4 linked regions of the Diceros bicornis minor genome follow. The protein of the gene in region 3 binds, or shares a complex with, the protein of the main gene of each other region. Links are inferred from orthologs where the notes say so. Each region holds a gene or a part of one and is shown on either strand. Other genes may lie near its edges. The genes, in order: SMARCD1, SMARCC2, ARID1B and SMARCA2.

What was found.
Region 1: ARID1B (region 3) and SMARCD1 share a complex: the UniProt entries of both Homo sapiens proteins name them as parts of the neuron-specific chromatin remodeling complex. The link is inferred for Diceros bicornis minor from reciprocal best matches to the Homo sapiens genes ARID1B and SMARCD1.
Region 2: ARID1B (region 3) and SMARCC2 share a complex: the UniProt entries of both Homo sapiens proteins name them as parts of the neuron-specific chromatin remodeling complex. The link is inferred for Diceros bicornis minor from reciprocal best matches to the Homo sapiens genes ARID1B and SMARCC2.
Region 4: ARID1B (region 3) and SMARCA2 share a complex: the UniProt entries of both Homo sapiens proteins name them as parts of the neuron-specific chromatin remodeling complex. The link is inferred for Diceros bicornis minor from reciprocal best matches to the Homo sapiens genes ARID1B and SMARCA2.

Annotation. Positions count from the first base shown.
Region 1 is NC_080756.1:19,739,490-19,747,374, forward strand, and holds the start of SMARCD1 (SWI/SNF-related matrix-associated actin-dependent regulator of chromatin subfamily D member 1), read right to left. Parts: upstream 3,013-7,885; 5' UTR 2,975-3,012; coding exon 2,798-2,974; intron 2,167-2,797; coding exon 1,979-2,166; intron 1,687-1,978; coding exon 1,644-1,686; intron 1,550-1,643; coding exon 1,427-1,549; intron 949-1,426; coding exon 826-948; intron 1-825. Other genes in the region: ASIC1 (acid-sensing ion channel 1), read right to left, coding at 5,913-6,017, 6,183-6,287, 6,373-6,452, 7,136-7,227, 7,667-7,820. UniProt on the Homo sapiens protein: Involved in transcriptional activation and repression of select genes by chromatin remodeling (alteration of DNA-nucleosome topology).
Region 2 is NC_080756.1:12,583,330-12,590,435, reverse strand, and holds the start of SMARCC2 (SWI/SNF complex subunit SMARCC2), read right to left. Parts: upstream 3,019-7,106; 5' UTR 2,966-3,018; coding exon 2,855-2,965; intron 832-2,854; coding exon 712-831; intron 92-711; coding exon 6-91; intron 1-5. UniProt on the Homo sapiens protein: Involved in transcriptional activation and repression of select genes by chromatin remodeling (alteration of DNA-nucleosome topology).
Region 3 is NC_080778.1:12,667,705-12,674,875, forward strand, and holds the start of ARID1B (AT-rich interactive domain-containing protein 1B), read right to left. Parts: upstream 3,011-7,171; 5' UTR 2,717-3,010; coding exon 941-2,716; intron 1-940. UniProt on the Homo sapiens protein: Involved in transcriptional activation and repression of select genes by chromatin remodeling (alteration of DNA-nucleosome topology).
Region 4 is NC_080761.1:26,385,934-26,393,512, reverse strand, and holds the start of SMARCA2 (probable global transcription activator SNF2L2), read right to left. Parts: upstream 3,004-7,579; 5' UTR 2,904-3,003; intron 2,342-2,903; exon of another isoform or gene 2,175-2,341; intron 1,217-2,174; exon of another isoform or gene 1,116-1,216; intron 1-1,115. UniProt on the Homo sapiens protein: ATPase involved in transcriptional activation and repression of select genes by chromatin remodeling (alteration of DNA-nucleosome topology).

The sequences.
Region 1 (7,885 bases), on a different chromosome or scaffold from region 3:
CATTTCCCCAAGAGAAACGAGGCAAGTTAAGCCAAATCGATGCACATAACAAAGCGAGTCTGAACAGAGAAAAGTCTGACTCTAGAGGGGAAATGAATCACAGGCAGTAAGCAGCCAGAACAAAAACAGCTTTCTTTGGATGGAATGACACCACCAGCAGATGGACTGGACCTATATAGAAAAGAAGGAGGCTGACACTGAGCCCTGGTTCTCCTGCAAAAATGCATTCAAATTAGCTTGCCTGTGAATAGCTAAAATAGAGAGCCAGAGAGTGTAAGGGAATGAAAGGTGAGATTCCCCAAGGAGCTTCTGGGGTGGGAAGTTTGGGGGCTATCACCTGTCTGCTCATGTTCCCCACGAAGCAACAAAGAGCCTGTCAGAGAAATCTATCCCACTTAAACTGTGAGATGTCTCCAATGAAAGTTGGGAAGATGGAGATGCCAGTGGGAATCAAGGACTCAGAGAGGAAAGCATGGCCTCAAATGCTCAGTGCAAACTCACTTGATTAAAAAAAAAAAAACAAAACTTAATTGAATAATCTGCAGATACTGCTACATCCCAATGGCCAGCGGCATCAGGAGGAAGGTAAACAACAAATCAAATCCCAGGACAATAACGTTCTTGATATGATACCACAGTGAGGGCCAAGCTGTGGGAACCAGACACAAAGAACCATTGTCTTTTAGTACAGGAACACTGTGACCTCTCCCTGCTGTTCCCAACAAGGGCTGTGAGCACCAGTAAGGCTTCCTGCCAATCAGACAACACTGCTTGTTCCCAGCAGCTCCCACCCTAGATGCCAACCACAGTGGACCTTGAACTCACATCTTCCAGGAGCCGTCCTTCTACCCGAAGCTCCCAGGAAGCCACCGTCCCTTCCCCATCCTCGGCATCTGACTTAGCCGGATTGAAAGTGTTAGAAATGAAAATTCGCAGCTTCCGTTTTTGCTGAGGAAGGCAGAAACAGGATTGATGGTGGGGCTTCAGTGGTTTGATGTTGAAGACAAGGGTCTCCCCAAACCCCAAAATTACTCCTAACAGGAGTACTGTCTACCCAGTCCCTGGGGTGGGTGGATGGAGAGTCCATCTAGAAGAGGAGTACTGGCCATTGGCCTGAGTGCAAGTGCATACACTGGGATGCCAGGTGGACAAACTCACGCAAGGTGCCAGGTTCCTAAGGCGGCAGAGCTGTTAAAGCAAAAACCCGGAGAGGGTACGTTTCTGGTGCAAGAGATATCAAAAGCCCCTCCCCCTTTGCTATCTGTTCTCATGCTTCTAATGTAACACTCAGTTCGTAGGCGGAAGGGAGAGATATAATTTAAATGCCAAGGAGAGCTGTGCTGCGCCTTTGATTTCTCATCCTGAGCCTAGTGAAGGTTCCCGAGTCCTCGCCTTTGGCTCTCTGTCTAGCCCTCTCCCGAGTTACCTTGATGGGACGTTTCAAAGCCTCCTGGATATCTAGCCGTTTCCTCATGATAGTCTGGTCCAGTTTCCTTTCAAAAGCCAAGAGATCCATATAGGCTTGGGATTCTGGTACCAGTTCACGTATCTTAGAAACAGAAAGATATCATTGGGATCTAGAGCTGACCATCTCTATTCTCAAACCCACCACACCCACAAGAAGACCTAAAGCCTGGACTCACCCTTTGAGGTAGAATTTTGTCAGCCATCTTCTTTTTCTTTGCACTGTTTAGAATAAATACTGTTATCAGGTTGGGATGGAACTAGCCAGAACATGCAAACAGGCTGTCAGCACCTCCATTTATAGTAAAGTAGAGAGACTGCAAAGCTTCTCTCAAATCAAAGACATCCCCCTGCCCCCAACCAACATGAGGCATTCTCAAGAATGAGCACCCATCTGCTGACACAGCACCACTGCTTCTTGGTTCAGGTACTCCCACCACCTGTGTCCTCACAGGCCTCAGGCCTCCTCCTTCTCCTCCTCCCTTCTCCCTCCCTCTGCCCTGAGGCATCTTACTTGTGATTTCGGTTTTGGACCGCCTGCTGCTGGACCTGCTGGATCTGCTGAGGTGCAGGTCTCTTGCGGGACTGGTCCATCCCTGACTGGGCCAGGCCAGGTCGGACTGAAGGGTTCCCCCCATAGCCAGGGGGTCCCATGGAAGGTCCCTGAGGTGTCATTCGGCTGCCTGGCAGCATACCTGGTCTCTACAGAGAGGAGAGGACCCAGAGATGTCATGGCTTCCCCTACTAACCCCACTAATAAAGGTAAAGTGGGGGATGGCTGAGTTCTTTGAATGAAACAAGGCTGGGGGTGGGGTGGAGCACAACAGGAGGGGAGCCTTCTCCCTCTTTAAAACATAACTGGAGCTTCCTCTGCTCCAGTTGTGATTCCATAGGAGAGTACAGCCCAAAAGCTAAGAGATAATCAAATTATACTCAAATTCTCCCCAGCCAGTTTTTTATGTGACACACTGGACAGCTCTCCTAGTCCTACATTTACTCAGCACTGTAGCTGACCTCAATTTGCCAGCTACACCTTCCGTGTTCCTGTGGGCACTGGAGCTGCCCAAGCCCTTTTGCACTCCAGCCCTCATATGCCCACCATTTCATCCCGCGGGTTCTATACCCTGACTCCCCACGGAAACAATACCCCTAGAAGCAGGTGGGGATGCTAAGTGCCTCCCCTCCTTTCCTCTGCACTGTCTCCCCTTACCCCCACTCAGGGCCCGAATCCCTCCCAGGGGAGGTCCTCCTACTTCTCCCCCACCCCTGTCACTCCCAGGCCCCCGCTCGGCCCCGCCCCCGGCCCGCGCGCCCCTCCTCCCGCCCCACTCACCGGATAGGCCGCTCCGGGCATCGGGGAACGGTACAGCCCTTGACCCGGCGCTGGGCCCATTCGCACAGGAGGTCCCGGAGTCCCGCCTGGGCCCAGAGCAGCCGCCGAGCCGGCCCCTCCAGAGGCTCCGGCGCCGCCGCTCGGAGCCACAGACTGGAAACCTGCCCGGGCCGCCATCTTCCCCGGAGCCTCGGCTGCAGCTGCACAAAGAACCGGAACCGGAACTCCCCCCGCCCCCCGCGCGCCCCCCGCGCGCCCGTCTGTCCGCCCGGCCGGCCTGCCGGCACGGGAGGCTGGGGGCAGCGAGACTGTGGGCTAGAGGGGGGCGACTAGCGGAAAAGGCGTGCTGACCACTCCCTCCCCCCCTTCACGGTCCGGGAGGGGAAACCATCGAGACGAACTCGGGATAGAGAGGCCCTGTGAGGGGGCGCCCCCAGGCGACGGGAGGAAGACAAGGACTGGAAAGGGGACCACAGCCCCAGCCCCAAAGCTCGGAGGAAGAGGGTGATGGAGTGACTGCTTCATCTTGGCGCGGTGCATTTAACTTCCCAAAGCGCTTTGATTGTTTTTTGTTTGTAAGCCCGGGGGGCTGAAGAGGAGAATGCACTGTTTATTCCATTTGACAAACACGAAAGCTGAACTCAGAGTAAATGATTTGGCAAAGGTCAACTAACAAGTTAGCCGTAGAGCCGAAGCCTAGAATCCAGATCTTGTGGCTCATAGCTTGGGACTCATTCCACAGATAAAGTGCCTCAATAACTACCTCACCCTAGAACTTCAACCCAACTTTGTCCCTGAACTTTAACCTAACCTGCTTCCAGATTTTAAGTTTATTTTGAATTTTGACCCTGCCCCCTCTCCAAAGAATCCTTTGTGATAGGACTTCTCTTTGGGATCTTTGTTGCCTTTGATGCCTCTCTTTCCCTGCCCAGTGGTTCAAACCATGCTTGGTGTGATGGTCAGCCTGTCCCACCCCAGGAGGACCAGGGTCTCCCTGCTCAAGCCTCCTTAACTCCTCCCCTGATTGTTTGGCTCCAAGCCAAACTCAGCTCTAAGCACTTAGTGGGAAGGCCTAAATACTCTTCAAATAAGAGAAAAACGACACTGAAGAGGAGATGGTTGAAACCCAGTTTATTAGACCAGAGGCATGCGTCCCCCATAGCCCTGCCTGCTGTTCCCCATCTGGTGCACACCCCTTGGCCATGCTCCTGCTTCCTTCTGGAGAGGTCTGATCTCTAAGGAACTCCTACAAACTAAGAGTTCCCAAAGATCCTACAGCCTCCCTCTCCAGCACCAGGCCAATGCACAGGTGACCTACTACAGTTCCTGTTCTGGGGTTGGAGACCAAGAGACAGCTGGGCAGAGAAGCTCTGGGAAGGGGGAGGGTTCTGGCCTGGGAGGAGTGTCTGGTGGAGGGGGCGTGGCGAGCCCTCTACCTCACTTATGTTTCTCACTAACGTAGGAAGAGAAGGACAGAAGAGCAGAGCTTTCAAGCTCCCCTCTAGGCCTGTCTCTTTCCTCCCACTACCAAACCGTACCTCACCAGAAAATATAAGTGGTGGGCTTGGATGTCAGGTGAGGAAAGGGGGCTGTGCACCCAGAAGGAGGGAAAGGCCACTGACTAAGGACCTCAGCTTCTGCCTGTCATCTGCACCGCTCCAGCTGCAGGAGTTACCAATCCACAGCTTCCTCTGTCTCTGACACCCTTGCCTTAGTGTACAGAGCAGATCTCCATCCCTTGGGTGAGGGCTTTCTCTGCAGCAACTCCTTCCCTGGGGAGGCCACCATCAGCCAGGCAAAGGACTTTGGGCTGGGTGGAGCAGGGGAGGGAATGTTAAGGCTGCAGGGAGGGCAGAGGGTGCCTGGGGTTGGGGGAAGACGGTGAGGCCAGAAAGAGGCAGAGCTTGTGATTCACAGCTTCCTTTATGTCGCCACCGAGACAGTGCGAAGGTTACAATGCGCGTGTCGTCTCCTTGTGCTTCTCAGAGGGATGTGTGTACACAGTACAGACACCAGGGGAGAGAGTCCAACTCTTTATACAGGTGAAGGCATTCAGAGACCAGGGAGGGGGCAGAAACACAGAAAGGGGAACTTGGGGTGGAAAGATGGTTCTTAGAGACAAGAGGGGATGGGGTATAGACAGACAGAGTTAGGGGAAAGTATATACAGAGATATAGCAATATAGAGTCTGTATCGTATAGAAATAGAAAATGCAGATGAGGTTGTTGAGAGAAGCAAATGAAGTTGGGGAAAAGGACTTGGGAGAGTTCCATAAGAAAATTTATGGATGTGGCCCTCTGCAGGGGCCCCTGGGAGAGGGACCAGTGAGGTTAGGCACCAGTGCCCCTCTCCCTGAGCTGGAAGCCAACTAGCTGGATCTTTTATGGGTGATAGAGGAGGGCTGCCTCTTGGGATTTCTCTCCAGCAGCTCTGGGGTGGGGATGAACTTGTAGGTATCAGGATGTGGCCAGAGCACCAGGGCCACATCTTGCCCCCATCTCCACTTCTTCAGGGGATCCCCCACCTCCCAAGAGACTTCACATGGTGGTGTTGGGGGGACTAGGGTCTTAGTTCCTGCCTGGAGACTTGGTTGGGGGGGGGGGTCAGTGGGCTGAGAGGGTCTCTTAAGGCTGGGGAAGTCCCCCCCCACTAGCCCTCCCCTTCAAGGTACATTCTCTGGTTTGGGGCCAAATTCCAGACCCCAAGGATCCCCTCCACCCCCCACTGGGAGGGGGCTTTGGTGACTGGTGGCAGCAGAATGTAGGTGGACACTCAGACGACAGACAGCCAGACAGACAGAATTCAGGCTGGGAGCTAGGGGAGGCAGCATGGAGCAGAGAGGGGCAGCCTGAGGTCACTTGCCCGTTCTCTCTTTTTAGTTTCTTTTTTAGATTAGTTTTGTTAAAAATAACAAGAATGGGAGAGAGGCAGGGAGAGGACTCTATGGTCAAGACTCTTTCCTCACCACAGACAAGAGGAAAGGACTGCCCAGGAGTTGGGGGCTGCCTCGGGAGCGGGGAGTGAGTCCCCAGGGCAGATGCAGGGGGCCAGCTGGGGGCCCCCTTGCTCTCCTAGCCCTCCCCATCTAGGCCTTTGGTACAGTGGCCTGCAGGGCTCAGCAGGTAAAGTCCTCAAAAGTGCCTCGGGCCGGATGGTGAGGTAGGATGTTGGCAGCGTATGTCATCCCAGCAGGATGGCCCCGGAGGCTCTCACACGGGTTCTGGGGGAACAGCACAAGACAGCGACTGGTTATCCGAAGGGCCACAGGTGACGCTGGGGAGTGGGGGAGGCAAAGGAGAAAAGGTGGCGGGGGCGGGGGGGGGGTGGTCCTAGGGTGGTGGGGGAAGGGGCAGGGCTGGAGGGCGCCCCTGTCTCTCTCTCTCACGTGTCTTTTGACGTCATCCAGGCTGAGGGCCACGCCTTTGTCTGCACTGTTCCTTTTGGTCTCCTTCTGGCACTTCCCTCGTCTGCACAGCTTGTGCTTAATGACCTGGGAGGGAGGTTGGGGTGGAGGGGTGGGCGGACTGGAACCCTGCCCCTCTCGTGGCCCCACCTCCATCCCCACCCCCGCTTACCTCGTAGGCGTAGTCAAAGAGCTCCAGCACCGTGAGGATGCTGGCCCCGATAAACAGTCCCATCTGGCCCCCAATGTCACCTGCATGGGGGACACAGGGAGGTCAGTGGGGTCAGGACACCGAGGGAGCAGCAGAGCTCACTGGGACAGGGGCAGGCAAGTCCTGCAAAAGCATCAACAGCCTTCATATAGAAGGCGCACAAAGCAATTCTGGTGGGATTTTTATTTTCTTTATGCTTTTCTGCATTTTTCCTCCTTTTTTTTTTCCCCCAAAGCCCCCCCAGTAGATAGCTGTATGTCATAGTTGCATATCCTTCTAGTTGCTGTATGTGGGACGTGGCCTCAGCATGGCCGGAGAAGCGGTGCGTCTGTGTGCGCCCGGATCCCAACCGGGCGGCCAGTAGCGGAGCGCGCGCACTTGACCGCTAAGCCATGGGACCGGCCCTGCATTTTTCTACTTTTCTAAAGTGAACAGGTATTATTCAGAAAAAAATAATTGTTTACAAAATACTCCAACACTCTTATTCTCTGGGCAGATTTTCCAGGGCATATGAAATAGTCCCATGTTCACGCCCACAGGCCTCTTCAACTTTGCTCTAACAGACAGCCCATCTTCCTCCCCCCACCACATACCCAGACAACAGAGTTTGGGGAAAGGCCCCGGGGGATCGCAGGGGAGGAGGAGCTCATGGGACACTTCAGATGGTAGGGTGTCACTCCATGCCCATGGCATGGGAAGGGGACAGGTGCCATCAGCAGCTCACCCAGGAGCCCTGCAATCTCATAGGCCTTCTTCTGCTCAATGGTCTCATAGTTGAGGACTTCAAAGAAAATGTCCAGCACGAGGATGTTCTCCCTGCAAAGGGGTTGGAGGAAGAGACCTAGGTTCAAGTCACATCTCTGTCCCTTACTAGCTAGGTGACCTTAGCAACTTATCCTCTCTGAATATCAGCCTCCATCTCCATCAAATGGGATGCTGATGGGGATACCTGCCTTCTGGGGTTGTGGTGAGGATTACATGTGGTGGTGTATATGAAAAGACGCTCTGCACACTGGTAAGTGTGAGGAGGTGATTCCAGTTATGGCTAAGAGGATGAAGATAGAGGGTAAAGTGAGGAGGAAAGAGAAAAAGGTGCTTCCTCTGCTTGTTCTGACTTGATCTTCCCTCCACGCCCACCCCCAGACTCTTTGCTTGCCTTCCCCATGTTATCTCAACTTCCTCCTCTCTGGCAGCCCCATCAAAGCCCACTCATACCCTTCACAGTCCCAGCCCAAGGGCCGTGTCCTGCTCTTACCCTATGTACTGCTCAGACTTGTTGAACTTCTTGGCCAGGTACTTAGCTGACGCTTTGCTGGGGATCTTGACCATGGACAGCTCCTTGCCATAGCGGGTCAGGTTGCAGGGCATTTCACACACACAGTACTCCTGGTCCTTCTCCACCAGGAAGTCTGCGCCCAGTCAGGTGAGAGGCGCCAGTTGAGTGGTGCCCTTCTGCCAGCACCTTCCCAACATA
Region 2 (7,106 bases), on a different chromosome or scaffold from region 3:
CTCACCATCCCTGGTCACTCTTGAATTTGTAGGCAGCTGCAAGTATGTGGCACAGGGAGCCTCCCGCTTTGAAATCTAGGAAACATTTGATCTACAAAATTGAGACAGGAAAGAAGGATGTGAGAGTTACACCCTAAATTCTCTTATTACTTAACAATCCTTTCACAAAATCCCATGCTGAACTGGTCTCCCTCTCAAAGCTGGAATGCTTTAACTCCTGGGCCACTGTACCATGTGGCCTGGAAGAGGGGAGAGACAGAAACCAATATTCACAAAGCCCCACCTTTGTGCCAAGTACTCTGCTGGGTTACCTCATTAACCATTACAGAAACATTAATCTCATCGAGAGATGAGGGAACCATGACTCAAAAGGTTTAAATGGCTTGCTCAAGATCACAGAGACATCAAGTGGCAGAGCCAGGATTTGAACACAGGCCCGTGAAAATCCAAATCTCATCCCCTTTTAACCATGCCACGGGAGTTCATGTATGGAGCTCAGACTCTCTGAGATAACCTGTACAAAGTATTACTGCACAAAGTATTACTAAGAAAATGGGAATGGTAAACTGGGGAGTAAGCCAAGCCAACAATGCCCTACCAGATACAGGGATGGTAGGAAATGACCCAAATCTCAAAAATCATAAAATTTCCAAAAAAAACCAAAACTCCCTCTCCTGTTGGGAGGATTCGCCTCCTTGCTTTTGTACTCACCGGCAGTTTAGTGAGTGGTGCATTGCTGACATGTTTGCCAAAAACTTCCTCCTGAAACTGTAGCAACTGTACAACCAGGCTAGACAAGGACTTGTTGGTGGGTGGTTCAGCTTGTATATACTGGGAGACAGAGGAAAGAGAGAAACACAGACCCCAGATAAATTGTCCACCATCTCCCTTATTCCTTCCTCAGGAACTCTGGAAGCATCTGGGGCAGAGAAAATAGTGTTGTCTTCTCCCACATGTCTAGTGTCCAAAGGAAAATAGGAGAAGGGAGGCCCTAGATGCCCCTCACCAGGAAGTTGAAATTCTGCTGCCCCCAGCCTAGGGGGCCAGCGTTGGGTGCTGGGGGTAAGGGTTGCTTCCTGAAATTGGAGTTGCATGACCCTGATCTCTAGCCAACAGCACTGAGGGTTATGAAATTCTGAAGGTTCGTGGAGTTCAGGCCATGGAAGCCACACTTTCGAGGCAATGGTGTATTTCTCGGGGTAACTCTGTGGAAGGTCAAGATTTCCCCTATAATGTAGCCTAATAAGAAAGGTACAAGGAAGCGAGTAGGGCAAACAGACTGAGAGAGTGAGCTTGTGCATTCTGCTTCTGCTAGGACCCAGCACAAGCTTCTTTGTAGCCCCCGCCCCCCAAAGATGGGAAGGACTAGCTACTATCCAGCCTAGTGGGAAGAGAGCAAGACAACATCTGTCCTGTCGGAGGAAACTATATCCGAGACAAGCAACCCTGGGCTTCTTAAACATTTCTGTATTATGCTACCTAGCATCCTAGCCTTCTGTTCCAATTTAAAACTGAGCCAGGAGGCTAACTTTCTCTTTGCCTTTTGACCCCTGTTTCCTCAACCCTAATCACATCACAGAGAGGAGTGCTCCTCTCAGCGGGAGGTGGAAACAGATCCTTGAAGGAAAAGGTACAAGACAAAGAGCTAAGAGCTTGAAAGCTGAACCAGGTCACAGGCTGTCAATCCCCCCAGGGCCAGAGACTAAGCCCCTAGACTGATCTCCTTTCCAAAATGTCAAAGGGAGAAGCCTGGCAACCAGAGCCTCACGCTGGGATACAGACAAGCCACAGACCCAGCAGCTGTTTGTCAGGATGCTGACACCCAGAGAGACCTCCGTGAACAAGGCAAGGCTCAGAACCAGGATCAGAGGGGTGTTCTCCTCAACCACCCATCACACTTCTGACAGGCTGCAAAGCTCAGTAGCAAGAACTGGGGAGCTGAAGGGAAGCCAGAAAGAGAGCCCCTAACGGGGGGTGGTAGAAGCGAGAGAGGCAGACTCTCTCCAGAGAAAAATCTTATGTGTAGATGTTCCTTTCAACCAGGCGGAAAGACAAAGACAGCACTAGCAAGAGCTCTGGTGGAAAAGACAGGTAAGGTGTTTCCAACGCTCTGTTCACTACCTGGTTATCTCCAGTTATCGGGTGGGGGGCTAGAGATATACAGCGTGTCCTAGCCTCTGAACCCCAAACCCAAAGCAATGCAAGGCCAGGTGGTGGGGTGACTTCATTGTGAAGCTGAAGAAGGGTTTAAGAAGGAGTCGCTGCCCAGCAACTCCTATAGCCTGGCTCCCGAAGAGGTTTTGTTACTCCTTGGATGGACGTGGGGGACCGGAGGCAGAGACAGGTGATCCCAGCGTGGGGGCCTTTTTCAGGCTGATGAGCAGCCAAGGGCCTGCTCCGTGGCTGTCTACCCTCCGGCTCCCATCATCTCTCTCCGAACATACACAAAGCACCAGGGAGGCCTCAGCTCTGCTGGTACCTGGCTCCGCGGGGAGCTCCGGCGGGCACGGCGGCGGGCACGCTCGGAGGGGGAGGGGGACGCCCATTCTGCACCCCGTCCACCCGCGGCCTCTCTCCCGGAAAAGCCCGGAAGGCGATGGCTCAAGGGAGGGTGGGCTGCTGGCACGGGACCCGCGGGGGCAGGGGAGAAAAACGAGGGGCAGAGGGCGCAGCGGCGCGGGCGGGGGCTGCGATCCCAGCCGGCGGGCGGCGGCGGGAGCGGGGGAGGGGCGCGGGGGCCGCTCCGCAGGCCGCGGGGGAGGGGCCGCGGGCCGCCGCGGGTGGGCAGGAGCCGGGGGCTGCGGGGGCCGGTCCTTTGTCCCGCCCCCGGGCCCGCGCGGCCCTGCCCGCGTACCTTCTTGTAGTTCTTGCCGAGCCAGAGCCGCACGTTGTCGAACTGGGTCACGGTGTCCGCGGCCTCGTAGTACTTCACGTTGGGGCCGCCGTCCTTCTTCCGCACCGCCATCTTCTCGGGCTCGGGCCCGCCGCCGCCGCCCGCCCCGCTCAGCTCAGCTCCCGCCTCCTCCGCCTCCTCCTCCGCCCGCCTCCCGCCGCCTCCCGCCGCCGCGGCCGCCGCCTCCCGCTGCCTGGGCCGGCCCCGGCCCTCGCAGCGCCCCCTGCCGGCCGGCCGGGCGTGGCGGCGGCGAAGCGCCGGGCGCGGGACCGACCCTGGCGGCCTCCCCGGTGGCGGCGGCGGCGGCAGGAGCCTTGGGGAGCTGGCGGCTTCCTGGAGGGGGCGCACACTCTCTGAGGTCGCTCTTGACCTGACGCGAAGCCTTTTGGCTCTTTTCGCCTCTCAGCCCGGGGAGTAGGGTACCTCTCTATCCTACCCCAGGGGGACGCCCGTCGCCTGAGGAGCCCCCAGCCCATGGCTCCGAGTGGTCCTCACCTTGCACATTCCTGAGCCCGCGGAGCCCCTAATCCCAGGGACCCCCAGACCCTTTCCCCAAGAAGTTCCTGCCTTCCATCCATCCCCAGGAGCTCGCCGTGTAAACTCTTCCCGAGTCTCCCTCGCCCCTAACCCCGCACCCCCTCTCAGCCCTTAACCCGAGGAGTCCCCCGGGCGCCACCCTGGAGGCCCAGCCCCTTCCCTCCGACTGCTTCCTCTGCAGGCCTCGCCATCGCCTCCTAAAGAGCTTTGCCCTCCTTGAGACCCTGAGTCTTCGAGGGGCGGGAGACCCTCCCTCCCTGGGTCACCCGTCCACCGGACTTTCCCCGAGTGGCGTGGAGGAGAGGTAAGGAGCGGGCGGGAGGAGGTCATGGGGTGTGTGCAGGACTTGGGCCAGAGTCCTCCCCCGGTCGCAGTGCGGACCCCTCTGTAAGCGCGCGGCTGAAGGAGGTTTTGGAAGTCACGGTGGCCGAGTGGTTAAGGCGTTGGACTCGAAATCCAATGGGGTTTCCCCGCACAGGTTCGAATCCTGTTCGTGACGGCCGGTTTTTTTTTCCCTTTGAGGACGTGTAAAGGGAACTCCTTGTCTTCGCGTGTGTCTTTCGTGCAGTTCCCTTTCTGTCTCGGAAATAGAAGCCGAAAGGTCTCACTCTCGGATTTGGGGGGATGGGAGTGATCACGGGAAGCTTAATTATGCACAACTGTATTGGCTGCTAGGATACAAGGCACTTGCAGAATTCTGTAACTTCAGGTTTGCGAGCAGAGCTTTGGCATCCGTTGTTTCATTCTTTTGGGAGGGAATAGGAAAGGATTTGGTTGAAGAGGGGTTAAGTTTTATTTGGGAATGTGACTGCCTGTTGTGCTATAATAATCAAAACTGGAGTTTCCAGGAGAAGAGGACACCTCTGGATTTCATGACCAGCAGTCACATCTTGTAGGTCTGATTACAGTGAAGACCCAGGAAACAGGGCATTCTCTCATTTGGATTTCCTTGAGGAGGTGCGCCTCAGGTACTGCAGGGCTGGGGGGAGTAGCCTGTTGAAACATAAACACTGCAGGTCTAGCTGGAGCTCTAGTGTGGGAAGATCACTGTCACTTTTTATTGAGTACTCATTGTGTGCCAGGTACTGTTCTAAATTGTGTATTAACCAAGCTGGGGAATAAATCTCTCCACCAACCTCTAATCCTCCAACCTCACCCCATTCTTCCTATCCCCCAGTTTCTGATTGTGGGGAATATGTAGGATGTTCTTTTTGTATTTCATTTCTTGCACGGCAGCGTCTTCTCCAGGAAAGATCCCTAAAAGGCAGGGAGTTCAAGGGTAATTCATAGAACTTTCTATGCTTTACACCATTGTTCCTGCTGTTCTTTCCAAATCACCCCCACCCCCCTACTGTGATCACTTTCCATCTGGCACATCCTTGGACCCCTCCTTTTTTTTTTTTTTTTTTTCTGTGAGGAGGACCAGCCCTGAGCTAACATCCAATGCCAATCCTCCTCTTTTTTGCTGAGGAAGACTGGCCCTGGGCTAACATCCATGCCCATCTTCCTCCACTTTATATGGGATGCCACCACAGCATGGCTTAACAAGCGGTGCATGGGTGTGCGCCCGGGATCCAGGCCGGCAAACCCCGGGGCGCCGCAGTGGAGCACACCTAACCGCTTGGGCCACCAGGCTGGCCCCGGACCCCTCCTCTTTGAGGCTCTGAATTACTCCAGCTGGAACCTATCCGTCTACCACCACCATCCACTCGGTTGCATTGCAAGTCATTTCCTTTGACACACCTCTGCAAAAATTAACAAAATGAAAACGAGTTATATTTACTCTACCTCCTAAATATGTCTCAAATCTGTCCACTTTTCTCAGGGGTGAGTGCAGGCTGGACCTACCAGTTGCTGGAGCTTTCATTTGGAAAGTAGGGGTAGTTGTGAGGACTACATGAATCAACAGATGTAAAGTGCACGAAAGCATCCGCACTGTAGCCAGAGACCATCAGCCCCTCCATGGCTGCGTTTTGTGGTTCGTGACCTGGTCCCTGTCTCTCACTGCTCTTCTGTATTCACTACATCCCGTCCACTGGCATTCTTTTAGTTCCCGGTGTAGTATTTGTCCGTCTTCATGCCGTTCTCGGCCTGAAATCATCTTTCTCATCCTCACCTTCTACTCAGTCTCCACTTAAATATCAGTTCTCTTAGGAAGTCTTCTCCAACCACCTGTCGCCCGCCACATCCTACGTCCTAATCTTATTATGTGAAGTCTTTCTTCCCCTGTAGAATATAAACTCTTGGCATATATAAGCCACTCAATTGAAAAAGAATCTTTGCTGAATAAATGGATGTTTTCTACAGTAGTTCTGTGTACGTGTTTTAATCTTCACGCGGACTGGACTCTAAGCTTCTTGAGAGTTAGGATTGTGTATTTTATTTGTTCGTATCTCCCCTACTAGGCCTTACACATGGATGTAATCAAATATGTACCGAATGAACGAATAGAACCTAATAGGCTCGGTACTCCTTTTTGCGCATGCTCTCAGATTTAACTCTCTGGAGAGCCAAGACTAAAATCGACCAGCAGAGGGCAACCGACAATTACGTAGTGATAGGAAGCCGGCTCCAAGGTGTATAAAATGGAGGACCTGGACGGAAAAGAAGCTGATGGAGGTTGCCTGGTACCTGGAGATCCTACCTTTCGCTCTCAAATGCTTCCCTTGTAACTTTCGGGGATGAGAGGCCAAGGCCTCGAACCTTCATGTACAATAGATAATTTCAAATTTTTACCATCCCTACAGCCCACCCCAACTCCCCAATTCCTTCACCCTTTCCCTTTCCATTCCAACAAATCCTATCTATCCTTATATCGTTCTTTGCGTTGCATGAGCACCCTTCTCTCTCTCCTCATTCTTACATGTTTACTACATTCCATCCACTGACATTCTTTACTTACTGGTTCAGTATTTGGCCTTGTTCATCTGACCTGAAGTTACCTTCTCCACCTGGGCTTGCAATCCCACTCATTTCAACCTCCCAGAGAACCTTCCATAAATATCCTTCCATAACACATTCAGATTCCCCTACTCCACTGGATCAATCCTTCATTAATTCAGAACAAACAAAATTACACCTGCATTTGACACTTCCAAATCACCACGTTATTTTCTACTTCCTTTTATTTTTTGAGTAAAATGTCTACCTCTGCCTCCAGCTCCATACTATCTTAATCTCTCTTGTAGAAACCTTTGCTATGTTTGAAACCATTGATTTCTTATTGGGCTGTAGAGACACTGTACTCTTGTTTTTCTCTTAGAATACTATTTCTCCATCTCATTTGTTTTCTCTCTCCTTCTGTGGAATTCTACCAAAGCTTCATTCTTCTCCCTCCTCCCAAGACAAAAATCCTAAGCCACTGTTCCAGGCATGGCCTCTCAGCCAAACTGTGGTCCTCTATCTCCAGCTGCCTATGTATATGTCTCCACAGCTGACTTAAGGTCACCTAAAATGCAAACAAAACTTCTCTTCCTTTCCCAGAATCACATGCTCAACTTTTTCCATTTCTGTTAATACTATTTTCTCAATTCCATGTAGTTTCCAACCTTAAGAATTATCTGACATTTTTCCTCCCATGCCCATCATTCATCAATCATTGCTTCCTCCATCACATCATCTAATGCATGCTTTTGTTACAATGGCCTTCCAGGTGCGCCAGTTTCACACTTAAATC
Region 3 (7,171 bases):
CAGCAAGAGCGCAGGACACTTCCTAATAACGCAGTAGGACTCGGGTGACAGCAAATTCAAGAAAATCCAAATAAATCCGATCCCAAAAGATCCATTTTCACTGCTCTGCTATTTTCCTGCACTTGCTGAATAAAAAGTGTGCCTCGTCCATGATCAAAATAAGTTCAATTTAACCGGAATGTGTTGCTTGAACACAGCCTCTCTGTTGAAGGTGACTCCTTTCAAGCAGCCTGGGCCAAATAATGGATTTCCTGGCTCTTCTTAGGAACGAATAGCTATATTTTAGAATATTTTCCCTCCACATCGTCGTAAATGCGGGTCTCATTTTTGCTACCGAACCGTCAAACTCAAAGCCCCGCATCGAATGTCTCGGCATGGCTGGGCAGAACTACGGAAAACATCCTCGGAGGCCACAAAGCTAACCTATTTTGCCTGCCTCCACCTTGTAAGCTAAGAGGGAACGCAGTGGGGCCGGAGGGAGGACAAAGTTCCCCCTTCTTTTCCCAGTTCCAGCTTATTGTTGGCGCGAACCGGGAAGACCTGGTCAATATCTCCGTCCAGCCCGCACTGGCCGGGAGCGCCTGTTCGGTTACAAAAGCGTCGCGCCGTCCCCGACTCCCGCACGCGGGCCCCGCGCCTGGGCCGGGGTGGCGAGGCGCGGCTGCTCGGCCACCGGGAACCCCGGCGCCCGGCCCGGCCCGGCCCGGCCCGCGGCGAGACCCCCTCCCAGGCCCCGGGGTCCCCCGGCCGCGCGCCCGGACATCGTGCGCTCCCCGGCCTCCGAGGGAGGCAGCCGCGAGTTAAGATGGCTTTGGGCGCCTCGCCCCCGCCTCCCCCGGCAGAGGACGCGGAAAAAGTACGCGGAAAGAAAGAAACTAGGGCTCGCGGCGCGCGCCCAGGCCGCCGCGGCGGAAGCAGGCCCGGCCGGCGCGGGGGTTACCTGCGATCTGCCCATGGTCGGGCCGGGGGTGCCGGGGCTCATCGCCGGGTGGCTCCTTTGTTGCGCGGCCGCCCAGGCCGGGCTGGCAGCGGCGTACTGGGCGCCCATGTCCTTGCCCAAGCCCATGCCCGCGGCCGCCTGCTGGCCGCCCGCCGCCGCCCCCGCCGCCGCCGCCGCCGCCTGGGACTGGGGCTGCGACGGCGGCGGCGGCGGCGGCGCGCTGGGGCTGCTGTAGTCGGGGTAGCTGCCGCCGTAGCTCCTCATCATGGGGCTGGGCGAGGTGAGCAGCTGGTTGAGGGTCGGGGTGGCCCCCGACGGGTGCTGGTTCTGCCCGGCGAAGCGCTGGAAGCCCCCCGCCGCCGCTGCCGCCGCCGCGCCGGCGGCCGCCTTGCTGAGGCTCGCGGCCCCGCCGCCCCCGGGGCCCATCATCATGCCGCCGCCCTGCTGCCGGGGGGAGCTCAGCACCCCGTACCCCGAGGACGAGCCCCCATAGCCGCCGCCGCCGCCGCCGCCTCCCGCTGCTGCTGCTGCCGCCGCCGCGGCCGCCGCCGCCACAGCTCCCGCTCCTGCTGCTCCTCCTCCTCCTCCTCCTCCTCCTCCGCTGCCTCCTCCTCCTCCGCCGCCGCCGCCGCCGCCGCCCGCGCTGGGCCGGCTGTAGCCCGGATAATGGTTGTACTGGCTGTTGGGGTACCCTTCGTGGGAGTTCTGCAGGGGGTCCATGCTGTTGGGGGCCCCGGCGGCGGCTGAGGCGGAGTGCATCATCCCCATCCCGGGGCTTTGTTGTCCGCCATGTTGATCAAAGCAAGGCCCAGCGCGGCCGCCGGGGCCGCCGCTAGCAGGGGCAGCGCTGCCATAGTAATTGTTAAACTCCGGGACGGCCGCCGGGCCGCCGCCGCCGCCGCCGCCGCCCCCGGGCACGGCGACCGGCGGCTGCTGCGCGCCCAGGGCGCCCAGGCCCGGGTGCTCGTAGCGGCCGCCCGCCGGCTCCCCCATCTTGGGCGGCGCGTCGTCCTCGTCGCCCGGCTTGCTCAGCAGAGGCTGGCCCGGGGGGTCGGCCTGGCTGCCCGCGGCACTGTCCTTGGCGCCTCCATGTTGCGGCTGCTCCATGTCGGGACCGGGCTGAGCCGCGCCGCCGCCCGCGCCGCCGAGGCTGTTGTTGTTGGAAATGGGATGTTGCTGCTGCTGCTGCTGCTGTTGCTGTTGCTGCTGCTGCTGCTGCTGGAACTGGTTTAGCTGCTGCTGTAGTGCGTGGTGGTGGTGGTGGAGGTGGTGGGCATGGTGGTGGTGGTGGTGGGCATGGTGGTGGTGGTGGTGCTGTGCGGCGGGGGCTTCGCCAACGGTTTTCAGTTTGTGGTTGGGGAGCAGCCCCGTCTCCATGGCCGAGCCCGGGCCCGCCGAGGAGGAAGAGGACGCCGCCGCGGAGGAGGAGGAGGAGGAGGACAGCGCGGCGGCGCTTCCAGCCTCCTTGAGAGCCGCCTCGGAGCCGCCGCTCTTGGCGCTGTTGGTGCTGGCGGCGGCGGCCGGCGCGCTCGCGTTATGGGCCATGTTCAGTTCGTGACGGGGGTGCAGGGGGTGGTGGTGCACACTATTCAGGCCGCCGCCGTCGCCGCCGCCCCCCAGCATGGGGCCCGGTGCCGCCGCCGCCGCCGCCGCGCCGCGCGCCCCCGCCTCCAGGTCCCGGGCCCCGGGCGCCGGCCGCGGCCCGGGGGGCGCCCGCCGATCGCCGCTGCCCGCCCGCGCCCGCGCCGCCGCCGCCGCTGCTGCCCGCGCGGCCATGATCGCCGCGGCGTGGCCAGGCCGGGCGGGGGGCGGGGGGAGACAATAAAACCCACTTTTTAGGCGGCGGCCCCTCCTGTGCGCATCCACGCGCCCCGACGGGAAGCGAGCGCGCCCCCTCCCCCTCCGCAGGCCCCGCCGGAGCCGGATCGGGAGTCACGCCTTACGGTCTGGGCCCGTTCCCGCGGGGGGATTTCATGGTGAAAGTTTTGAGTTCAGGTTTAAATGCAACTTTTTTCCTCTCTGCCCCGGATCTGGGGAAATACACGCCCGCCGGAGCCTCCCGGGCCCAGCAAGGCAGGAGAGGGAGCCGAGCGAGCCGAGCAACTATTATCCACTTCTCTCTGATGACTCGGTGCACTCGCAAAACGCGGACTGGACTCGGCCCGGGCCGCCGCCGCCCGCCCCGGCGCAGGCTCGCGGGCACCGGCGGCCCCGGGTCGGGGGCTCGGGCCGGCCCGGCGGGCGCCCGGGGCGCGGCGGCGTGGGGCGCCGGGAGGCTGCACCTTCCCCTCGTGCCTGCGTCTCCTTGCCGACCCGGCGTTCGCGTGTTTGTTTTCACGTCGGAAAGGCACGATCCAGAGGTGGAAAACGAGTCTGACGAGCAGACAAAAGAGGGAGAAGGGCTGGGGAACAAAGTTGCCGGTCGGCCTCGAAGGTTCCGAAGAGCCGCCGGAGAAAGAAAATATTTGGGCGATCTGGGCAGAAGATCGCTGCCTCGCCCAGGAGTTATGTAATTTTTCAGAATGGGAGCCTCGCTGTCTTGATGGCGGGCCGTCCGCGTAATTCCCACAACTTCTTCAAACTGCAAAATTAAGGGAGAGTTTAAGGGAAGGTTAGCCGCCTTCAAGGCGCGCTGTGCCCTGTACACAGCAGGTACTCAATACATGCGTACGATTGCACCTGCCCCAAAAATAATGTTGATATAACTTTTTAAAGGCACTTTATGTGTGTGTAGGCTTATCAATGAAAACTCAAAGTATTCCCAAAGGAGCATACAATGCACATGTCTGTTCTCTGGCTAAAGGGAAGTCCTCAAGTATGCAGAGCGGTGTGTTATGCTCCCAAGCACTTGCACATGGAGATTGAACTCTTGGTGCCATAATAGCGACAGCTAAGGTTTATCTCATATCTTCATAAATCCGTATGACACCTTTCATCATATTTCAGAGGTTAATGCTCACAATTAACCCTCTTGATGTGAGTTCATATCTAAGCAATGTGAAACAAAACTAAAACAAATACATGCTATATTTAATAAACATAAGCTCAATAATATCAGTCAAATCTAATCCTAGAGCAGAAATGTTTCATACTTTGTTCTTTTCAAAAGACTATTGTTTTATCACATTATGATATTTTAAGTGTTTTTATTATTGGAGATTCATCACCTAGGAACATTTTGAATTATCTTTACTAGCAGGACTTCTTAACCTAAGCAATGGCTCAGTTGTACTAGTGTGGACTCAGTTTTCATCCAGAGAAAGGCTTTGAAACCAGAGCTTTCAAGAGGTCACTGTAGCTGAAATAATATGTATGATTTTGGTAGAATGTAGTTTTCTAAAATAATTTCATTCTTAAGCTTTTCAGGAAGGCTCTTTTAGTTGATTTCAACTGCAGTGGTTATTTTTGTTTGCTTGACCAAATGCAGGTATGTTACATGACTAAATAGAAAAGGATAGATGGGAAAAACTGGGGACTAACTGGGGGGAAGGAGAAATCAGGGGAATCACCCAGGAGTCATTATAGAGTGTAGAAACAACAAATTGAATTCTATGCAAACGACTGAGAAACGGGTTATAGCATCATGTGTAAGAGAGAATAACAGAACTGTAAGATGAATTCATGCCAAATCATTCATCAGTTTTTGCCAAGAGAATACTACATCTTTGTTAGTATACCTTTTTGACATTTTCTCCCTTTATATATTCAAACCCATACTAATTATATGCATTACAGCACATAAGTTGAATTTTTAAAGTTTTTCATATGCAAATATAAATACGTCTGTTTTGTGTATGTGTGTATATACATGTATTCTAAAACCAATTACATATTTGTGCTTTTAGACACTTATAGTCAAACTAAATATATACATACAATCATAAAAGTATATTTTTTCTCACTGATAAAATATATCAAAGTCAATTCATACAAGTGTAGCCATATTTGGTGGCTTATTTTCACAGCTAATCCTAAAAGGGAAAATGAGTCACCAAGTTCAGCTCTGGCCCGTTTCTTAAAAATATTTTTTCATGTGGATAAATCATGAAACTAAAAAAAAAAAAGTAAGGATATAAGTTGAAATCTCTTTTAATTCCATTTGCTTCTGCAAGTCAACTAGAAGATTGGAACCAAGAGGCTATGAAGTAGAGGCCCTCAGCACAATGAAATCAATCTGCTATAAAAGGCGACACATGCCAGCTTCTCCTCCCGGATGGCAGGTGCCACACCCTAAAACAGACAGAAGGCACTGCAGTCTGTAAGAAAAGCACAACACAAAGCCAGCAGGACTGGGTTTTGTCTTTTAAACCACAGAGAATGCTCAAATACCTTTTTTAAAGCATCTTGCTGAAGATAAGTAGTGGGATCTGATTTATTCAGCTTGTACTTTTCAAACACACCTTCTCAGGAAAACAAAATAAAAGCCTCTTAGAGTTCGCTTTGAAAATCCAGGACTTAATAAACAAAACGGCAGTCGGCCAGGGGTCTGTTTAGAAAGTGAGGAAATAGGTTCACATTTCACAAAAGCACAATTTGAACTATAGATGATCCTTTCTGTTGTGTCACTTGCCTTGATTATCCTATATGGCAATTCTACATTATTGTTTTTTGGATAATATAAGGTACTAGAAACCACCATGTTCATTTTTCCTAATGAATTCCTTATTTCTACACCTCTTGCCTAAATTTCAAACCATAATGACAACTTTAGTAAGTTACTCCAGCCACAAGGCAGCCTCGCAGGTGGAGGCCCAAAAGCTGCCGAGTGGCTGCACTAGGCTACAGCCAACTCCCACCCACGGGTTGCCCCACGCCCTCATGTTTAGCCAGAGGATTACCCATTATTTTGTTAAACATCCCTTTTTGGCTACAAAAGGGTTTTGGTGGGTTTTTTTAACTATATGAAAAATTAATATTCAAATACTGCTCCTTCTGAATAAGTTTTAGGGTGCTGAATAAAAGCCTCTTCAACTTGCCCACTTAAAGAGGATTGAGCCAGATGGTAGTTTAAGAATGCCACAGCTCTGTTCTTTTTGCCTCATCGTGGCCCATCATACTATTTGCTTTCAGATTAGCCCCCTTTTGACTGTTCTGGTTATTTATTCGATAACTGAAACTAGCACGATTCACTACCCATCATATTTCTCAGTATTCTTTCCGTAATTTGGAAGCAATTTAGAATAAAGCCCTGTCAAGGTTTTACAAATAAGAACTATTAAAGAATAAGGCTTTGGACACTTGCTTTCCTTTTAGATTTATGAGAAATGCAATGAATGGAGCTAATGGGATTTCCCTACTGATCTTGGTCAGAGACTTTAAAAAGCACTAAACAATTGTCCTTTTCACTTCTCCGATTTAGACGTTAGCAGTGAATAACTGAGTAAAAGCAAGATAGGGCATATAGCATTTGATTTGAAACAACAATGCAAATTAACAGTGGCCTGTAAGCTTAGGATGCAAAACAATTAGATAAGATTGAAAAAAATCTGGGCAAAAAATAATTTAAATATATTTGGGAACCCTGACCAATGTAGCACTATTATACTTACTAAGAGTATTATAGTGGGGATAATAAACCTGGATGAGGATAAACTACACTTATTCATTCAACAGATTTATCTAGAATCTACTTTGTGACATGCCCTGAGAATAAAAAAGATAAATATTAGCTTGGTCTTGTCCTCAATAGGAGAGAGAAATAATTATCCTAAAACACACTCAGGGCTGCCCTGAAATGTCACGGAGGACTTGGCCAGTAAAGAAACAAGCTCTGGGGCTGGCCAGGTGGCGTAGCAGTTAAGTTCGAGCTCCGCTTTGGTGGCCTGAGTTTGCAGGTTCGGATCCCGGACATGGACATAGGCACCGCTTATCAAGCCATGCTGTGGCAGCGTCCTATATAACGCAGAGGAAGATGGGCATGCATGTTAGCGCAGGGCCAATCTTCCTCAGCAAAAAAAGGAGGATTGGCAACAGATGTTAGTTCAGGGCTGACTTTCCTCACACACAAAAAAAACAAGCCCTGACTTCCCCACCCAACAGCATCCCCTGCAGCTGTGCCCCGTTGGCTGCCATTGGCCGGGCACCTCGCCCTAATCCTCAAGTCTGGCCTGGCTCTGATGTGACACTGGGAACCCACCACTGCTGGATCTGGACTTCCAGAACCTTAAGTCATATTGAACATTAGGCTGCTACAATTTCTCTCCAAAGTCCCTAGAAACATAGTAACACCAA
Region 4 (7,579 bases), on a different chromosome or scaffold from region 3:
AAAGTTATATAAACAAAGGAAGGGAGAAGCCCAGTATGGGCTTTGCACCCATGTGCTACTAAATTACATAACACCCGGTGCAGACATGAAAGAAGGAATGGATTCTGCACAACACCCCCATTTCCCTCGACTCCCAAGCCTGTCTCCTTCTCTTAAAAAATCCGAACGCCTGGCAAGACCAAGTGGACGACTTGGAATATTAATTTTATTGCTGGAGTAAATCCTGCGAGAGTTGGAGGCACGTTTAGGCCCGAAGTTTGAATGTGCAACAACCCCAAGGCGCAGCGACTCCACTCTCCGGACCCGGAGGAGAAAGAACTGACAAGCGACAGCAGCCAGCAAGGCCTTCTTTTTCCCTCTCACGGTGCCTCCCGCTGGAAAGTTTTCCACGCAATCGATCGGAAGACAAGGAGCCCGTTTCCCCCGCCTGCCTGACTTTGCAGGAAAGGCGAGCCGGCAGACCGGAGGGGGCCGGCAGGGAGAGCTGGAAAGCTCCGCACACAGCGGGGGGCGGCGGCGCAGGCTGCTTACCTGGGGGACGCCGAACAAAAAGAGGCGCGGGGCTGGCCGAGCCTGCAGTGGCGGCGCGGCCCGCGACCCAGAGCGGGTCTCCCCGCCCGAGCCCTAGGCCCGCGCCCGAGCCCGCGGCCCGGCCCCCGCCGCCGCTGCCGCTTCCTCCCTCGCGCGCGTCATGTCACGGCGATCAAACATGTCTGTGTGCGCTTCGCTGCTGTGACTTCCTGATTCTCTGCCGCTCGCGCGCGCACACTCACACTCACACTCACAGCCACACGCACACGCCACCCCCGCCTGCCCCCGCCGCCAAACCTCGCCTTGTGCTCCCCCGGCTCCCGGGGAGGGCGCGGGCAGGAGCGGCTGCCGGCGCCGCTGCTCCCGACGCACTGGCCCCGGCGCGCACAACACACACTCACACTCACGCGCAGACACACTCGCGCCGGCCCCGAGGGCGCGTAGACGCGAGCCGCGGGAGCCCGCCGCCCCCTCCCAACCCCCCCCACCCTACTTAGCAGCCTTGCCAAACTTTTTTTTTCCTGCCTGATCCACGTCCAACTTCCCTCCACCCCACCCCCCAGTCCGGCCAGCCCCGCGCTCACCAGGATCTGCTGCAAGCGGCAACCCGGATAAAAATAATAATGCAATCCAGGCGGCGGAGGCGGGAGCGAGCGCGCAGACACTGGCAGGAGGCGATTTCCCCGCGTGTACCGGAAACCGGCCCCAGTGCCCGGACCAGGGCGCGGGTGTCCCCTGGAGCCCGCACTGCTGCGCCCCGCCCCGCGCGGTGCAACTGCCCCCAGGCTGCAAGGCCTGGTGCGGGGCACCCGGGGCACCAGGATCGGTGTGCGCCCCGCGGCCGGAGGACGCCTAGGGGTTGGCGCGCAGGACCGATTATTTGGGGAAGTGCATCGCGACACCTTTGCAGATGGCATGGCCGTGTTTTGCAACGCAAACGGGAGGAGGAAAGACGGCCAATGGAGGGAGAGAGCAGAGGAAGGGGTAAACCAGGTTGGGATGGGAATAAAGCAAACTCGAAAGCAGGGAGCGAAAAGGAAGGGGTGCGTGTCATCGTTGGGAGGAGGCTCCCACCCGGTCTCCCCGCCTCCCGCCCTCGCCACCCACCCCCCACTCCTCTCCCCCACCCCCCCGCAGCCCTTCCCTTCTCCGGCGAACACCACCGCCGCTGCCCGGGTGCGCGCGGGTCCTGTTTGTGACAGTCAGGCAGAGAGGATTATCCGGATCATGGCCTCCCCGGCCCGCAGCCACGGCGGCTCTCCCGGGCCCCAGCGAGCCCCTAGCTCCCGGACGATCGCGGACGACCCACGCCCGCGGTTCCCGCGGCTCAAGCTAGGGGAAGACGCAAAGCAAAACAAACCCGGGGACGGGGAGGGCAGGGTAACTGAGCCCGGCGGGCACCCCGACCTCCTTCTTCGTAGCCTCCTTCCTCCCTCCTAGCAGTGCGGCCCGGGCCGGACACCCAGAACTTCAACATCCGAGCCCGCGCGGCCGCCAGGTACCAGGGGCAGGGACGTCCGCAGAGCCCCGGGTGCAGCACCCCTGCAGCCCCTTCGCCTAAAGGCCTCCCTACCGGTCAGCGTCCCCATCCCCGCCCGAGGGAAAGCGCAAAGTGGAGGTGACACCTCCGATCCGGCACGCACCGGCCCCGCGGCAGTGGCTGCCGCCTCCTCGGCGCGCCAGCTCAGGCTTCTCCCGCCGCGATCCGCTCGCTTCTCCGCAGCCGGAGCCCTTTAAACAAGTCCCCGGGAAGCGGGTGGCAGCCGCGTTCGTTGGCGCCTCGCCGCCAGCCTGGGCTTCTCGCCCTCCTCTCCCGCTCCCCTTCCAACTCTTCCGGGAGGACTGCTTGGGATGAATTGTCGCGTTTCCATCCTCCTCCCCTGTCCTCCTGCCTTCCCCCTCCGCCTCAGTCCCCCACCCCCGGCTTTTAAGGGGATGGGGGGATTGCAACCTTGCCGAAGGTGTGTGTGTTGCAACCTTGAGTTGGCAGCGCATCGCCGACTGGCTACCCAGGGTCAAGGCTGTGGTTTGTTGGGATTTTTCCCCCTCGCCTCCTTGAAGTAGTAATTATTACTGTTATTATTAGAACAGCAAGGTTCGGTTGAAACTTTCCCGTTTCTCCCACCGCCGCCCTGGAGCTGTCGTTAGAGCATTCCACCTGAGGCCCGCGGGGAGGAGGCGGGCTTTTTTGTGGTGGCGGTTGGCCCGCCTGTTTGTTTTGGTCTCCGTGCATGCACAATAAATAATAATTAGGATAATAATGAATAATCCCCAGCAAAGGCGGCGCGGTCCCGGAGGGGTTTGTGCGGCGGCGGCAGCGGGGAGACCGGAGGGAGGGGAAAGAGGAAAAAGGAGTTGTAAGTTATATTTACCTTGCTCGCGAGGAGTGTGCTGGCTGAATCTCTTCCCTCTCTGAGTCACCCAGAGTACAGAAACAGAGGGAGAGAGGACTAGATTATGAATATGACTTCATTGATGACAGCCATCCCCTCCTCTTCCTAAACTCGGGCTCCGCCCCGCGTCCCACCCTCGCCGCCTCCACGGGCGCCGGAAGACGCACCGCAGTTGGCCCCACGCGCCGCTCCTCCCTGCCCGCCCGGGCGCGGGTTGGCGGGACGCGCCTGTCACTCGCCCCGCTCAGCGACTCCGGGAGCTCGGGGGGAGGAGGGGGCGGTGTGCAAGAATGTGGCTCGAGACAGCTCTACTGTATGCGTGGATCCGTGTGTGTCTGCAAGGCGCCGGCTCTCGGGCCGTGTTTGTGCCTGGAGCAGAGAAACTGCGCAGGACGCAGGCAGCCCCAAGCCCTGATGGAGTTGGGCGCCGGTTATCCCTCTCCTGGCAGTACTCTTCCAGGGGCGCTGCCGAGCTCCTCCGGGGAGTCTGGGGAAGCAGAGCAGGCAAAGCGAAAGGGAGGGCAGCCGTAGTAATAGCGCGTAGTAGTTTGGGGGTATGTGGAGAAGGTGCTGGAATTTAACTGTGCCTCCGCCTGCCAGAGCCAGCCTGCAGAGGGAAAGGGAGGGGACAAGGGAAGGGCTCTGAGTGGCACCAAAGCTGTTTGTGACACAGTGTTGACCATGAAAAAAAACAGGCATTGTCGTGCCGGCTGAAACTTTTTCTCCCCCGTCCGTCCCCCGCCCAAGGCAGTAATTATAAATCTGCCCCCACTCTCCCCCGTAAAAAGGAAGGCCGGCACAAAGAACATTCCTGCCAAATCTGTCTCTTTTCTAAAGGATTGCAAGCTTCCAAATGCCAACGAGGGAAAAACAGCTGAGAGGCTGAACGCCTTATAAATAAAGAAGCCTGCCCTAACCCCTCTGTTTACTTGTGGACCAGACACAGCCCTTGAACCTTCCCTTACCTGTCATCTTCACGTAAAATATATACAAAAATATGGAAAAACAACCCCTTGGGGGCGGGGCGGGCGGGTTAGGGGGCAGTGGAAGCATGGCATCTGCATTTGATTTAAGAAGGGGAATAAATCTCTTATTCTCTACACACCATAGTCTCTTCTCTCCCACCCCACAGTTAAGACCAATTAAGGCTACCGACGGTAAACTGCTGGTGTTTTGCGGTTTTGAGACCTCTTGTTTCAATTTTCCGTGAAATACAGCACTTTGGCCGGACGATAGGTCAGTGTTTGCTGAGACAATTTTATTTTTAGCTTTATGAAGTGTGAAAGAATGTTAGGAGATTTTAAATCAGGGGCCTATTATTTTAGACTCAGATTAATGTAGGTGCTGGATTCTTAAAATTAAAACTGTTCCTGTATGGTAGTGTTATGAAAAGTATGATTTATCCCTTATTTTGTAATGTACTGGTTTAAATTAGTCATTCAAAGTGCACTGTGACTATTTAGTTGAGGATTTTTCCCCCTAGAGTAAAATCCTACTTTAAGACTATTTTACTGTTGCAAAATTAACTCTATTTGAGCAGTTGAGTCTGAAATGCAGTTCTAGGATGCTTAAAACTATGCACTGGATACGTTGAAGACAAGAAGCAATGGAAGGAACACCAAAGCCCTCATGTGGTCATTAAGTGGCTGGAATTGTTTACGTTGCTGGTCCACTGCTGGCAGAAGTAGAATCTGCAAGGGCACCATTGGGTGGCCAGGGGTGTCAATGGTCACCCACCCTGTAGGTTTCTCAGGCCTTGTTCCTTGCTTGTCAACTTTAGCTTCATAATTTTCTCTCTATTCCAAAGTGAACCTCAAAACAACAAAAGATAACCCATCTCAGAGAAATAGAATATAGCATGCCCTGAAGAATCTGTTGTAAGAACTTGTTTTTCTGCCTGAGGATATGCCAGTGTAACTATTAGCTGGGAAATATACGGCAAGAAATTTTAAACAAAATTAGCAATGTAGTAAAAATATAACTTCTAACTGCCTAATAAAATGCAACTATTAATATAGCCAGATAACCTAGTTGCCTATAAAAGGGCTTTAACCTAATGGCAATGCTTATTACATTAGGTAATATTAGGTTTTAATTTTTTCAGGCCAAATTTGTTTCCGTGGCATGCCAAACTCCCATGCCGATTTTCGTAAATTGATGACTTCACCTTTATTTCCTTGTGAATGAGTGCCCTTTATTCCTTTACGATTCCACGTTCATCTGCCATGCCAAATTTCAAAAAGAGAGCAATCATCTTAGTAAGACACTGGAGGAAGAGGCTGGCTATTCTTTCTGGCATTTTGTCAGAGGGAAAATAAAGAAGAAAACACTCCCTTTGTTACATGTGTATATTCTTCAGCTCATATAAAATTTTGATGCAGTACTTGGAAGGATTGGTATCCATGCATTATATGCACAACTTTGGGAATTGAAAAATAAAATCTATTGCTAGGAACAGAGATTAAATATAGATATTGCATCTCCTTTTCCTTTCACATTGGTCTAAGAAAGCACTACCTTCTTCCTTCAGGTCTGTCCTCTGAAGAATCCTCTTTTCTGTAGCTTGCACTTCAGCAAGTAGAAGTTTTATAAAATAAGGCCTATGCTCAGGAGAAATGAAAAGGCAGCACCATTTACTCAGTAAGAAAAGAAGTTTGTAGAACATATTGCATGAGCTTCATCTCTGAGATAAAGCTAAATTTAACAAGTGATGTTAAGGAGGAAAATGATGGGGTTCTTTTGTTTTGCAGAAAATCACACAAAAGCAAATATGGTTGGAGGCTAAAAGGACTCCAGGAGGCTGCACGGGATGCTAGATTCACATGAAGCTTTTCCTTTTGGACTTTGATGAGTCATAATGTATTCTCTGAACTTGCTTTTCTCTTTCTAGTTTGGCATCAAGGGATAGAAGTCACTTTTTCGTGTCTGTATGGCCACATTCACTTGTTATATAAGTCTGCTTTGGATCATGTTCTGAATAGAGTAGATATTGGGTTTGAAAACTGGTATCTTGTTACAACACCCCCATAAAGAAAAACTCCATGCACAAAGTTAGGAAGCTTCTACTCCCACCAGGCAAACTGTTCATGCCGGGTGAAATGTTGCCTGGCTTCAAATAGGAGCAAGTAAGACTATTTAGGAAATGAGTACTTCATCTACAGTAATGGAAACAAAACTTTGACAAAGTGAATCAGCCGACATTTAATTTAGTGGAGAGTTTAGAATTAGCAACTAAATTTATTACAGAAATAAACACTCCTCTCTCTCCTTTTTTCCAAACCACAGTCTCAATAGATTCTGTTTCTCCACAATCATCCCTCCAAAGTACCACCCCAATTCTGTTTGTGGTCATATCACTCTCTATCCTAAGAGTCTTTGTCTATTCCCGATCCATTATCTGATAAATTTCAGACTTCTTAGCATGCCATCCAAGCCTGTGTATGTTCAGATGTCTGCCAGCCTTGTTGACCTCATGCAATTGCCTGAGTTCTGGAAACCTGGTCCACCTTCTGGTTCCTAAGGGGCCATGTTGGATATACTTCCCGCAGACTGAAATGTGGGTTCCCAATCCACATCCTCCAAGACTCAACTCTGGCCCAGCAGCCTTCCAGTGGCCCTCCTTACCCTCCCCAGGCAAAGGAAGCCACTTGTCCTACTCTGCTCCCATAGCAACCTGTGTGTACCTCCGTTACAGCACTTATCACTTTGATGCGATTATTTCTTTGGTATCCTCCACTAGATGGCTAGTGCCTGGAGGGTGCAGAGCAAGTTCAATTCATCTCTGAAACCTGAGCAATTAGCCAGATGCCTGGCATGTTGTATGTTGTTTAAAAAAAAAAAAAAAAAAACTTTGTTGAATGGAAGGATGAGAGATATATATGAAAAATATCTGCAATAGAGAATTTAGCAGGTCTTCTTTTATTAACCATCATGTTAATGAACAAGATTACTAAGTATTTAGAATCTTTATGTTATTTTCCAAGCTGAGAAGGCTGATATGCTTTTGGTTTTCCCTTTTGCTTTGTTTTGGGTTTTTTTTGTAGGGGGAGGTAGGATGTGAAGTGAAGCTACAGCTCTTGCAGTCACATAAAGAGCATGGAAGGGAGGTTTTGTTTGGTTCATTTTTAAATTAGTCTAGGAGTAACATGAGTGTGTACATGGCAATTGTTTAATAGAGTAGTAGTAATTATAATAGCAGCTTGCTTTTATTTCTTCTTTAAATCAGATGCCAGTGTTTGTGCAGAGACCTCTATATATGCCATTTAATCCATTTGACCCTGTGAGATATGTGATATTATCCCCATTTCGCAGATGAAGACATGAGAGGCAGTAAGTAATTTGCCTAAGGCAGGGGTTTTCAAAGTAGAGTGGGCAAGACAATTCATTGTGATATGGCAAGAACGTTAGAAATTTTATTTCTTTTTCCTTTAATGATTAAAAAATGTAATGATGTAATGACCCCCCACCCCCCAAAAAAGAGCTTTATAAATGTTTATTATACTCATTGACCCTAGAACCTTTACATGGTCCCTAAGGAAACTGGTTGTGTGTCAAGTATTGTACCTAAGGAATACTTAGAGAAGTGTCATAGGCAGAGGGGTGATAGTGGTGTCCCCTTTGGTTTTTTTCACTTTCATGGCATTGACATTGCCTAA